Danio rerio: one gene and its partners. The protein of the gene in region 1 interacts with the protein of each later gene in a pairwise test. Links are inferred from orthologs where the notes say so. Each region holds a gene or a part of one and is shown in the gene's direction. Other genes may lie near its edges.

Evidence for each region.
Region 2: the proteins of fam161a (region 1) and lmna interact in binary tests that used the Homo sapiens proteins (3 or more experiments, as listed by UniProt). The link is inferred for Danio rerio from reciprocal best matches to the Homo sapiens genes FAM161A and LMNA.
Region 3: the proteins of fam161a (region 1) and lzts2a interact in binary tests that used the Homo sapiens proteins (3 or more experiments, as listed by UniProt). The two-hybrid records come from large-scale screens. The link is inferred for Danio rerio from reciprocal best matches to the Homo sapiens genes FAM161A and LZTS2.

Annotation. Positions count from the first base shown.
Region 1 is NC_133176.1:57,133,031-57,135,926, reverse strand, and holds part of fam161a (protein FAM161A), read left to right. Parts: intron 1-1,407; coding exon 1,408-1,507; intron 1,508-1,639; coding exon 1,640-1,797; intron 1,798-2,808; coding exon 2,809-2,896. UniProt on the Homo sapiens protein: Involved in ciliogenesis.
Region 2 is NC_133191.1:33,779,730-33,783,389, reverse strand, and holds part of lmna (lamin), read left to right. Parts: 5' UTR 1-12; coding exon 13-359; intron 360-3,660.
Region 3 is NC_133188.1:20,794,880-20,799,303, reverse strand, and holds the start of lzts2a (leucine zipper putative tumor suppressor 2a), read left to right. Parts: upstream 1-1,597; 5' UTR 1,598-1,759; intron 1,760-4,424. UniProt on the Homo sapiens protein: Negative regulator of katanin-mediated microtubule severing and release from the centrosome. Required for central spindle formation and the completion of cytokinesis.

The DNA of each region.
Region 1 (2,896 bases):
AAGTTGGCGGTTCTTTCCGCTGTGGAGACCCCGGATTTATAAAAGGACTAAGCTGACAAGAAAATGAATGAATGAATGAATTAGATGAGTGACTTGCTTTGTTTACCAAAAAAGTGGATCTAACTTGATTTGCATTGTAAACATCAAGTCAAAGTCAAATATAGATTATTTATTCATAAATTAATAATTTTGTAGTTATGATACTCCTTTAATAATTCCGCATAAATCGGCAGATTTTTTACAAAATTCTTTGCAGAAATACCAAAAAATGTCTGCAGATTCTTTCTGGCCCTAATAGTAAGTTAAGTCACTGTAAGGCAAGGCAAGTTTATTTTTATAGCACATTTCATAAACAATTGTAATTCAAAGTGCTTTACATAAATAAGAATAAAAGAAACCGATTAAAATGTGTAAATCTGGATAAACTGCAACTGTCTGACTGTCTTTTTGGGAAGGCCAGTGAGGAGTCCATTAGAGTAATCCACCCTGCTGGTCATAAAAGCAAGTTTCTCTAAGCCCTCACTGGAAACAAAGCATCTAATTCTTGCAATGTTTTTGAGTGATAGGATCAAGTGCAATGATAGTATCAAAGTCCCTTTAAGGCAAGTCATTTCACTCTGCGGCCATCTTTGAAACACCTCTTGGGCAGTATGCTCGGGCATTCTGTTTAAATGGGGAAACAACAAATTCTCCAAAACTACTTGCCAAGATTACAATTACATTTAACATTACCAATAACTAATGAAATAAAACAACGACTGTCTATTTAGTTTCATTTCTAAATGTTCGTATCACACAAATCAGCAGAAACTCACATCTGGTCCGAGCCCCTTCTTGGAGAATTGTCATTCAATAGCGATTGCTGATTGGCTACTGTATTAGAAGGCGGGCTTTATTCTCAATATAGCAATCGCTGATTGGCTCCTCTACTAGAAGGCGGGCCTTCATTCGCCATATTGACAGTTACACTATTCCTCATTCAAAAGTATACGAGTGACTTGTCTTGTGTATTCTATCGTCTTTGATAGTATGCTGACTCCAAAATCACATCAAGACTCGTGACCTCATTTTTTGTTGTTTGACCCTTAGAGCCAAGGTATGCATTCACCTTCAACATATGATTAAAAATATAATAAAATGCAATAAAAATTAGTTCACCCCATTGAAATTTCTAGTGAAATATATACAATAAATTGCAATACCGAAAAAAAAAACGATCAAAAGAAACATAAAAACTATGTTGTAGTTCAAATTTACTTTAATTAATGTGACTGTTTAATATAACTGTTTTGTTTAAATGCATCAAACTATGTTGTCTACATTCCCAAAGAAACTGATCAAATAATTTGCAAAAGATGCTGTACTTATTTATGCTCCGCACTATATACTGTATATGCTTATAAACAGGAAACAAGATCTCCAGAGACAGAAAGAGTATCAGGACGAGATGAGAGAAATCCAGAAAAGAGTAAAGGGAAGGCCTTTGTTACTGGAGCAAGTAGCACAGGTAGGCACATTATATCTAATTTATTTTGTTGTTTTCAATTTATAGGCTTTTCTTTGGGACTTGAGGAGAGACGGAGCACTTGAAAAGTCTCAAATTTGGTAGATAATATAAGGCTGTCTCTTGTTTTCTCAGATGAATGCTAAGAGAGCTGCTGAAAAGCTCTACTCTTCCACTTTGCATGGATGTGGTCTGAGTGAATCCTTTATCAGCAGTAAAGCTCCAAAGGGCTTAGAAAACAGACTGACTCCAAGCCCCGCCCACTCCGACAGCATGAGTCCACCCACATACAGGTATAAATGATCCACAAATAAACCAGCAAGTCAAAAAATCCCTTTTGTGTACAATTTAAAAAGATTTTTGTAGCATATTTATCAGATTTCCTCTGAAATTTCAATTATTTTTCAGGTATTTTCCAAGTTATCTTTAACGCCCCATTCACACGGGGCTTCAGCGTCAAGGCTTCCCATTCACTTTGAATGGGGTGATGTCAGGCGTTGCCAAACTGCATTGTGGATCCGTCGGCGCCGTTGCAGAGGCGTTGCTCGCTGCAGAAGTGGGGACTAGCTTAACTTTTCAAGCGTTGACGGAAGCGTCAGCCAATCAGATCGCTGTATGCGAATACACCAGCTAGACAGTGGCCTATTGCTGACTGAATTTAATTGGCTGACGCTGCTATGACGATCGCGTTAGCCCCAACTTCAAACACGCCTTCAGTCAAGCATTGATGCTGAAGCCCCGTGTGAATGGGGCGTAACAGAGCAAGAAACATTAACAGTATTCCCTTAAAATTTTTTCTTCCTGAGAAAGTCTTAATTATTTTAATTTGACTGGAATACAATCAGTTTATAGTTGTTTTCAAACTATTTTTAAGGCCATTATTATTAGCCCCCTTAGGAAATCATTGTACTCCATTGGCTACAGAACAAACCAATGTTGTCAAATGCTTGCCTAATTAACCCAAATTGCCTAATTATCTCTTAAGCCTTTAATTGGCCTAAAAACCACCCAAAAAGCTTCATGTACAGACTGCGATATTTATCTTCATGCTCACAGATCCACAAAATGACTGAAGGCATTATAGTGTTCATACCAGACCAGTAGTTGTCAGGTGACTTTATATAGAAAAGCAACTCACCTGCACACATGCATTCATTTTACAGAATTTATAATGCTAATACTTCCAAAAACATGCCCTTTGAAACTTATTTTCAGGCCTCTAGATTGCTGTTATTATATAAGTGATCAGCCAAACTGCTCCTAAGCAGAAATCTCAACTTTTTTCATTACTTTTTCCATGGCAGAAACAGACTTGAGGATGATGAGGATCTTCCGGACATGCAGGATTCTCTTCTCGATGACTATCCGGATGATTATGAGGAGTATGACCAT
Region 2 (3,660 bases), on another chromosome or scaffold:
TTCCAGACAACCATGGAGACTCCAGGTCAGAAACGAAGCAGCCGCGGTGGGGTGACCAATGTCCTGTCCCCTACCCGCATCTCTCGATTGCAGGAAAAGGAGGACTTGAGCAACCTGAATGACCGTCTGGCGGTCTACATCGATAAGGTTCGCTCTCTGGAGGTGGAGAACGCAGGTCTGCGTATGCGCATCACTGAATCCGAGACGGAGATCAGCCGGGAGCTGAGTGGCATGAAAGCGGCGTACGAGGCTGAACTCGCAGATGCCAGGAAAACACTGGACTCGGTGGCCAAAGAACGAGCCAGACTGCAACTGGAGCTCAGCAAAGTGCGTGAGGACTACAAGGAGCTGAAGGCCAGGTATGTGTTCATTTTTTTTTTATGTAAAAGTTTTATACATTGATATTAGTAAGAGTATGAAGGCTATTAGAAAGTTGAATGTTATCCCTATATGGAGTTTTGTTTTCAGTATTTATAGGATACAATGTAATGATATCACAAAAACAAGCATGCTATTTTTCTGAATTTCAGTAATGATTTATTACATAAAACTTACATTTTAGACACATTATTAAAAGCTTTTTTATATTGTTGATGAAAATATATTCAAACTATGCAGGAACACAGGGCTCACAAAATTTAGTTGCCCTAAGTCTCGGGGCTATTGTTTTTTCAGTGGGGCTACCAAATTTGATCTACACCATGCCCACTAGATAACCCACTGGGCACAGTGTAGATGGATTTTGGTAGCCTGACTGAAAAAAAAAACAATAGCTTTGGGACTTTGGGCTACTAGATTTTGCGAGCCATGGAGCAGAATATTTGTAATTTTTCAATCCATCTGTTTTTGTTTGACTTGTGTGTAATTGATTAATTGATCCATATATAAAGGAAGTCACTGGATTTGTTTCTAAATAAACTAGCAGTTTTGAACAAATCATTTGAATGAATGATTCAATGAATAGTAACTAATTATGAGAGGGTTATTGGCACCAAATACTGTTGTTTTTGTTTTTGTTGTTGTTGTACTTATCAAAATGTTTTATTATTATTGAAATAAATTCCCAGAAATATTGATATGATAGGCGACGCGGTGGTGCAGTGGGTCGCATGCTCTCCTCACAACAAGAAGGTCACTGGTTAGAGCCTTGGCTGGGTCAGTTGGCATTTCTGTGTAGATCTACCATGTTCTGCTAACCTGTCTCTAAAACCACACATGCAAGTTTAGGTAATGGAGTCAATACACAGTACACACTGCCTCAACCATCCCCTGCCAGCAGAAACATAAGCGAATATAGAAACGTCTATGAGCAGAACAGTACGATCTGCTTCACGGCATACATCACATATTTTTCTTGTTGCCCATAGGTGGAGTAAGCCAACAGCTAACTTTAAGATGAAATAATGTTATATGCAAGTCTAGAAAACAGCACAGTTGCATAGCCAACAAAGAATTCAAGAAGATAAAGGACAAGCTTGAGCCTGAACGACACTGTAAAAGCGATTAGTTGACTTTACTTTAAAAGTGTTAGTAAACCTGATGCTTTTAAAGCAATTAGTTGACTTTGCTTATAACAATAAAGTAAACTGGTTCCGTTTAAAGTGGTTATTTGCCTTTAAAAACATTAGAAAACCTGTTGCTTTTACAGCCATTAGTTGACTTTGGTTAAAAAGTGATCAAAAGTAAACAAATAATTTTAAGGGATTTGTTGACTTTAAAAAATCAGTTAACATGTTTTCATAAAATGATTGGGTAAATGAACCATGTGTATTATTATAAAAATATAAAGATAAGTTGCCTTAAGTTGCAACAAGGCACTTAAGTCATTGTGCTTACTTTTTATGTAAGGTGACTAATCGTTTTTTACAGGGAAGAATCAATATCGGACAAGCTTACACTTGGTCATGTATGAACAATTATTCAAATATTGAATAAATTAAATTTGAATGAAAAGTCTCTTAAAACCAGCAAGCCAGTCAAACCAGTAAACCAGTCTGCAGTTTAAAGTTGCAGTTACATGAGTGGCAATTACTGTGACTCATTCCACCCTGGAACCAACAGTATTTCCACTAGGATTAGTTTCAGAACGGTGTGTGGCTTACTGATCCATAAAACACTCAAAAGCTGCAGACAGTGGCTAATGCAAGTGCTTGTCCTCTGTTGCTCTCTGAGATTTCTTTCACACATCCTAGAGATACTGTAAGTTTAACCCTAAAGAGCAGGACGGTGTCTATCCCCTGCCCCTGGGCTCTCAGCCTAGTCCCTGGCTAAATTTAGCTGAACCATGACGGCAGTTTTCTACACTGCACATCTGCTTATTGCTCCTGTCACTGAGGCTGACAGCTCAGAGCTTTACTCTGTTTGATGTGTTCTTAAATTAAAATGAAATTTATTTAATTTAAATTATTATCATGGCTTTAAACAAATAATCCCTGTAGTTCTAAACCTTGGGATTTGGGTTTGATATTCTCACCAAAGTAGAAATGATTTCATAAAAACAACAACACTAAAACCACACGCATGCCATGTCTGTTGCTCAGTGGAGCAGGTATGTGAGGTGTGAATGTGGGTGTGTTGTGTGTGCTTGGGAAATGTCTGTTGGATTCTCTGCCACACCCTTCTGCAACTTGTGTAGTGTGTCTGTTTCTGTTTTGTGTCATTACATTCCTCTTTATAGTTTGATAAAGTCTTCTTTTTTATTGTTTTGCTGCTAGGGTAACATATTGTACTGATTAAGAAATGAGAGTAACATTTTTACTATGTGAAGTTTTCACCAGTAAGCAAGATGATACATGTTTATAATTTGCACTGTAGTGAGTTGTTTTGATGATTAATTAGTTAAATTAGTTCCCAGTGTGTGTTGAGCCTCCACTAGCGTCACTCAGTATAATGATAGGAATAAGGGATAATAAGTCAATTCATTCATTTTCCTTCAGCTTAGTCCCTTGTTTATCTGGGGTCACCACAGAGGAATGAACCGCCAACTTTTTCTGCATTTGTTTTATGCAGTGGATGCCCTTCCAGCTGCAACCCAGTACTGGGAAACACTCTTATATTCACACGCACTCATACACTACAACCAATTTAGTTCATTCAATTCACCTATACCGCATGTCTTTAGACTGTGGGGGAAACCGGAGCACCTGAAATAAACCCACGTGAACGTGGGGAGACAATGCAAACTCCACACAGAAATGCCAGCTGGACCAGCTGGGACTTGAACCAGTGACCTTCTTGCTGTGAGGTGACAGTGCTAACCACTGAGCCACTATGCCGCCAAAAGCCAATTATAATTACTTTAATGTTTCAAATAACTTTTGTGCAAATAAAAGCTTAGCATATGGGTGAAAATAACACTTCATCGCCATTCAGTGTAATGGGTATATTTACATGAAAAATTAATCGTTATATTTATTTTGATGTTTATGACAATGCATTGCAGAATAAGTGATAACTGTTGAAAGGATTATGAACTTCTTTCTGGTGATCATTAAATAGTATTCTTTAATGTCATCAAATGATTCTCTAAAAACAGTCATATTGTTTGTTTATTTTGTTTAGAAACTGTTAGCACCATTGAAATGGGCATCTTTAGTAAATCATTGTAAAATAAGATCGTCAAATGTGTATTATGTATTCATCAAATGTGTATTGGCCGGC
Region 3 (4,424 bases), on another chromosome or scaffold:
TTAAAATTGAGTAATATCCTGACATTGTTTGAAAATCTGTTCCAGAATGTTGCATAATTTCACACCACAAACAGACATACACAAACTTTTTAAAGTTGTCCTTGTTTTCAACCTCCTATTATGTTTTTCTCTCAGATTATATCCCCCTTGTCTTTCTTCAAAAAACTTTTGTATGCATTTAGGAAGTATTTTATTCCCAGCTTTAAACATTAATTGTGCTGTTTTAAATTCAACCAAATCATTGAACTTAAGTATTTTCAATTTAAAAAAATAAAGGATTTGTATGCTCCAAATACCCCACATTTTCTATCAGTCTAATTACTTTTTTCTGCATTGTACATAAGGATTGTAAGTAAATATATATTATATTGGGGAATATATATATATATATATATATATATATATATATATATATATATATATATATATATATATATTGGGGTATATGTATTCCCCCAAATTTCCACACAATAGCTCATATATGGCAACATAAGTGTGTTATATAATATATACATTGATATATTGTCCAGTATAAATCTTGCTTTTTACACTATTGCTACAGTTTTTACTATTTTTGATATTACATTATTTATTTGCGGTTTCCGCAACTAATTTTATGATCCAATATAAAACCAACAAACATAATTGCATAATCTCTATACTTAAATACTTTATTATCAATTTGGAAATCTATATTATGTCTACTTTTTAATTTCCCAGATAACAAAACCTTTTGTTTTACTTATATTTAATGACAATTTGTTTACGTCAAACCACAATTTCAATTTATTAATTTGTTTTAATCAACTCCATAAATTTTGGTAAATTATGCCCAGAACAAAATGATACTTGTATCATCTGCAAATAAAATAAGCTTAAACAACTCTGAAATCTTACACATATTATTAATGTAAATTATAAACAATATTGGACCTAAAACTGATCTTTGTGGTATGCCACACTTTGCATTTAAATATGATGATTTATGGTTGCCAATTTCCACAAACTGTTGCCTATTTTTTAAATAACTAATTATCCAATCCAAGGCTACTCCTCTAATACCATACCATACCATCATTTAAAGATGTGACATAAAGACAAATAAACCACAACCTGTCCTGATAAGGGAAATTTTCAGAAATGACTCTAAAGGACCTTAAACTTATTACACAACTGTCAAGAAGACAACAGAAGGCATATAGTCAATTGTACACTAGAGTTATCCAACAAAGTTTTGATTACACTGACAATTTAGAACCCTTCAAATCTTCTTATCAAATATGATACAGCCTGCCCAGTAAGTTTAAAGTAGCCACTGAATGTCAGACTTAAAAACTGCACAGCAGTCGTCCATTTTCCACAGACACTGTCGTGGTCAGAGATGAAGAACAGCAAAAGGTAGAAGAAAGACAAGGGGAAAAAAGGGAGCAAGTATGAGGAGGGATTAAATGTGTGTGAGGATGGGGGTGGTGGAGGAGGAAGGGGCCACAGACAAAGTGCGAATGGGAGGAGGGTAGCAGGAGAAGGGGGCGGTGCTGGCGGCAAACAGCAGAGGACGGGACACAGAGGAAGGGGGTTTCTGCCAGAGAAAAGAGAGCAAACTTTGGCATGAGGAGGAGGAGCACGGAGAATGAGCATGTAGGAGAGAAGCAAAGTGATACAGAGAGGAGAAGCAGCAGAAGTACAGTGAACTGACTGGGATTGTACCTCCAGGACAGGCTGGGGAGACGCGAGGAGGCAGCCATGCAGAGCACTATGGGTATGTCAGCAACACCACTGGATTTATTGCAGCCTGCGAATGCACGAGAGTTCAGATTACCACTGCAGCTCACGGGAGCTTTGAAGTGATGTGAAATGAATGATTAACTTTCTTAAAGCTGATAGGGTTTGGGGTGAGAAGACGCTCTTTGAAGTTTTAGCAGCACTGTTAGTGCTTTCTGCTGTGCGAGAATGTTAATGATACTGTGTTATTTTGGGGGCTGAGTAAGTTGGGCTTTTGTTTTGATTTATCAGAGATACAAAGATACAATAGTGAACTCTGTTGTGCTTCATTTAAGTTTGTCACCAGATGTCTCCTTTAAAATGTTTGAAGTAATGAAGACAAAATTAAGACAGTAAGACTGTTACAAACGTTGGTATCTTGTCAAATATTGTGCTCTTTTCTGGTTCTCCAGAGAGAGACATGTGAGATTCCCACAGGAAAACCATATAAGCAGCATGAGGCGTAAACAAAAGTCTCAGTTTACTCTCATTTTAACATCACTGTCCTCTAGAAGACATAAATGAGACGTCTTTTGTGTTTTTTGTCACCTATAGGTATTTATATCTGCTGTAAAGAGTGTTTGTTGAGCTTGTTAAGTTTTTGTGGCTGGTTTGTTTGTTTGAAAGCAGGGCCTTGCGAGTGGATTGATTTACAGGAGTCAACTAAGCGGTTTGGTTTTGTTTTGTGGAGACCATTTTGTGGAAATTCAATGTTTTGAAACTACACTTCAGGTTCATATATACTAAAACATTTTTTACAATTCTTTTAGGAGTAAAAAAAATAGAACTTTAAATTCAAAATAGCTTGGCGCTATTTTTCCTCTTTCCTAAAATTTGTTGAAATTATTCAAACAAATGTACAGAAATCATCTGATAATACTGATGTGAAAGTGTCCCCAGTCAATCACAGCAAAGTTTATATAGAGAAAAGGTGTCAGTGTTGCTCATTAATATTTTCAGTATCTACAGTAACTTTCAGAACATCAGTATCTACTAGAGCTGGGTGATATTGCAAAACATATTATCACAATATCATGTTTCATATCATCTGATATTGACAATTATCTTACAAAATACATTTAGGAATATTAGATTTTTTTTTAAACCATTTTATTTTAATTTGCCAACATTACTAAGGCAAATATGTTCAATAGTCAAAAACAAAAATATTTAAACAAAATTTCTGATCTCTTTATAATAAAATAAATAAGTGTTAAAGAGACTCCTAAACTTGATGAATAAAATGCTACAAAGTGTGTGCAATGATAAAGGTAGAACAACATCTGTAAGATGTCAATAATAATGATGCAGTAAAACTCAAATTATTTAAATACATATTATAACAATACAAATTGTTAAATACTTAAATGGCTACATTACCCCTACGCTAAAACATGTCTCAGATGGGGAGCTAGTGGCTAGGATGCACAAGAAAAGAAACCAAAAAGCCACTCTGGCGACATCTTTACATCTTTTATTGTTTATAATCTCCTCAATGCTGCTATATGGCACTCATTTTCGCATGTGTTGTTATTCTAACCTTAAGTAACAAGTGCACGCGCATGGTTTCTGGAATTGGTTCCAATTGGAATCTGGAATGGTTGCAGAAAAACCATTGCTGCAACAAGTTTATGGAGAAAAGTAAAAAGCACTGCAGTGTTTGGCTGCGCTGTGTTTGTCTGAGGTAATTAGTCTGCCGTTATTACTGAAATGTGTATATTCCATACAAAGTGTGAGGCAGATTGGTTAATTCTACTAGCATGAATGGCGGTGTGCTCTCAGCATTCAGAAAAGTTCAAATGTTTTTAACTACTGTAGATGCGGCTCAAAAATGTGCACGGTTCACATGTGTATGTGTGCACCACCTGCACAACATGGGCGCGTCGCTCAAGTCGCGCGACTTCATTGGAAATGACAAACTTTCACCCTAAACTTATTGGCACTGTTTCCAAGGCACACGTTCATCAGCCACTTTTAATAAAACTATAGTGCTTTATACCGGAACTAAATAATTCTAAATCGTTTTTTTATCGATATTGACAATGGTGGTTCCGTCAATAAATATCGATATCAATTTTATCGCCCAGCCCTAGTATCCACTATAAAACTGCTCTTTAGTGCTTGATTTTACTTGTGTTTGTCTGACAATGATGGATTAAACAGAGGAAATTAAATTCAGAGTAGTGTTAAAGCCACACCTACCTAGGTGGGTTGAAGGTCTTTACCAGCTGATGCAAACTTCTGTACATGGGAACGTCTCCCATATACAAAATTACTGAAAACAACTTTTCAGTAAAGAGTTCCAAAAGGAATCATTTATGTGTGTGTGAAATGCCTTTACTGTACTGTTAAAAACCATTTCCGCTAAAAAGAACCTTATGTTGACGATGTAAACAATGTTTAATGGAAGCATCAATGCCAATGAATTGTCTTTTTGATCTACTTTTTAGATCTTTGGACTAAAAATATTTCTTCTATGGGATCACTGTGAAACTCTCTATTAGGCGACTTTATGTTTATTGCAAATATTTAGTATATTTTTGCTTTTTTGTGACCATAAATTAAAAAGTAACATGACTTCTCAAAAACTGGCCCAGATTGGAACGTCCGGTGTCCAGAATACACACATACACACTCCAATCACTCTTCGCTCAGTGCTTACA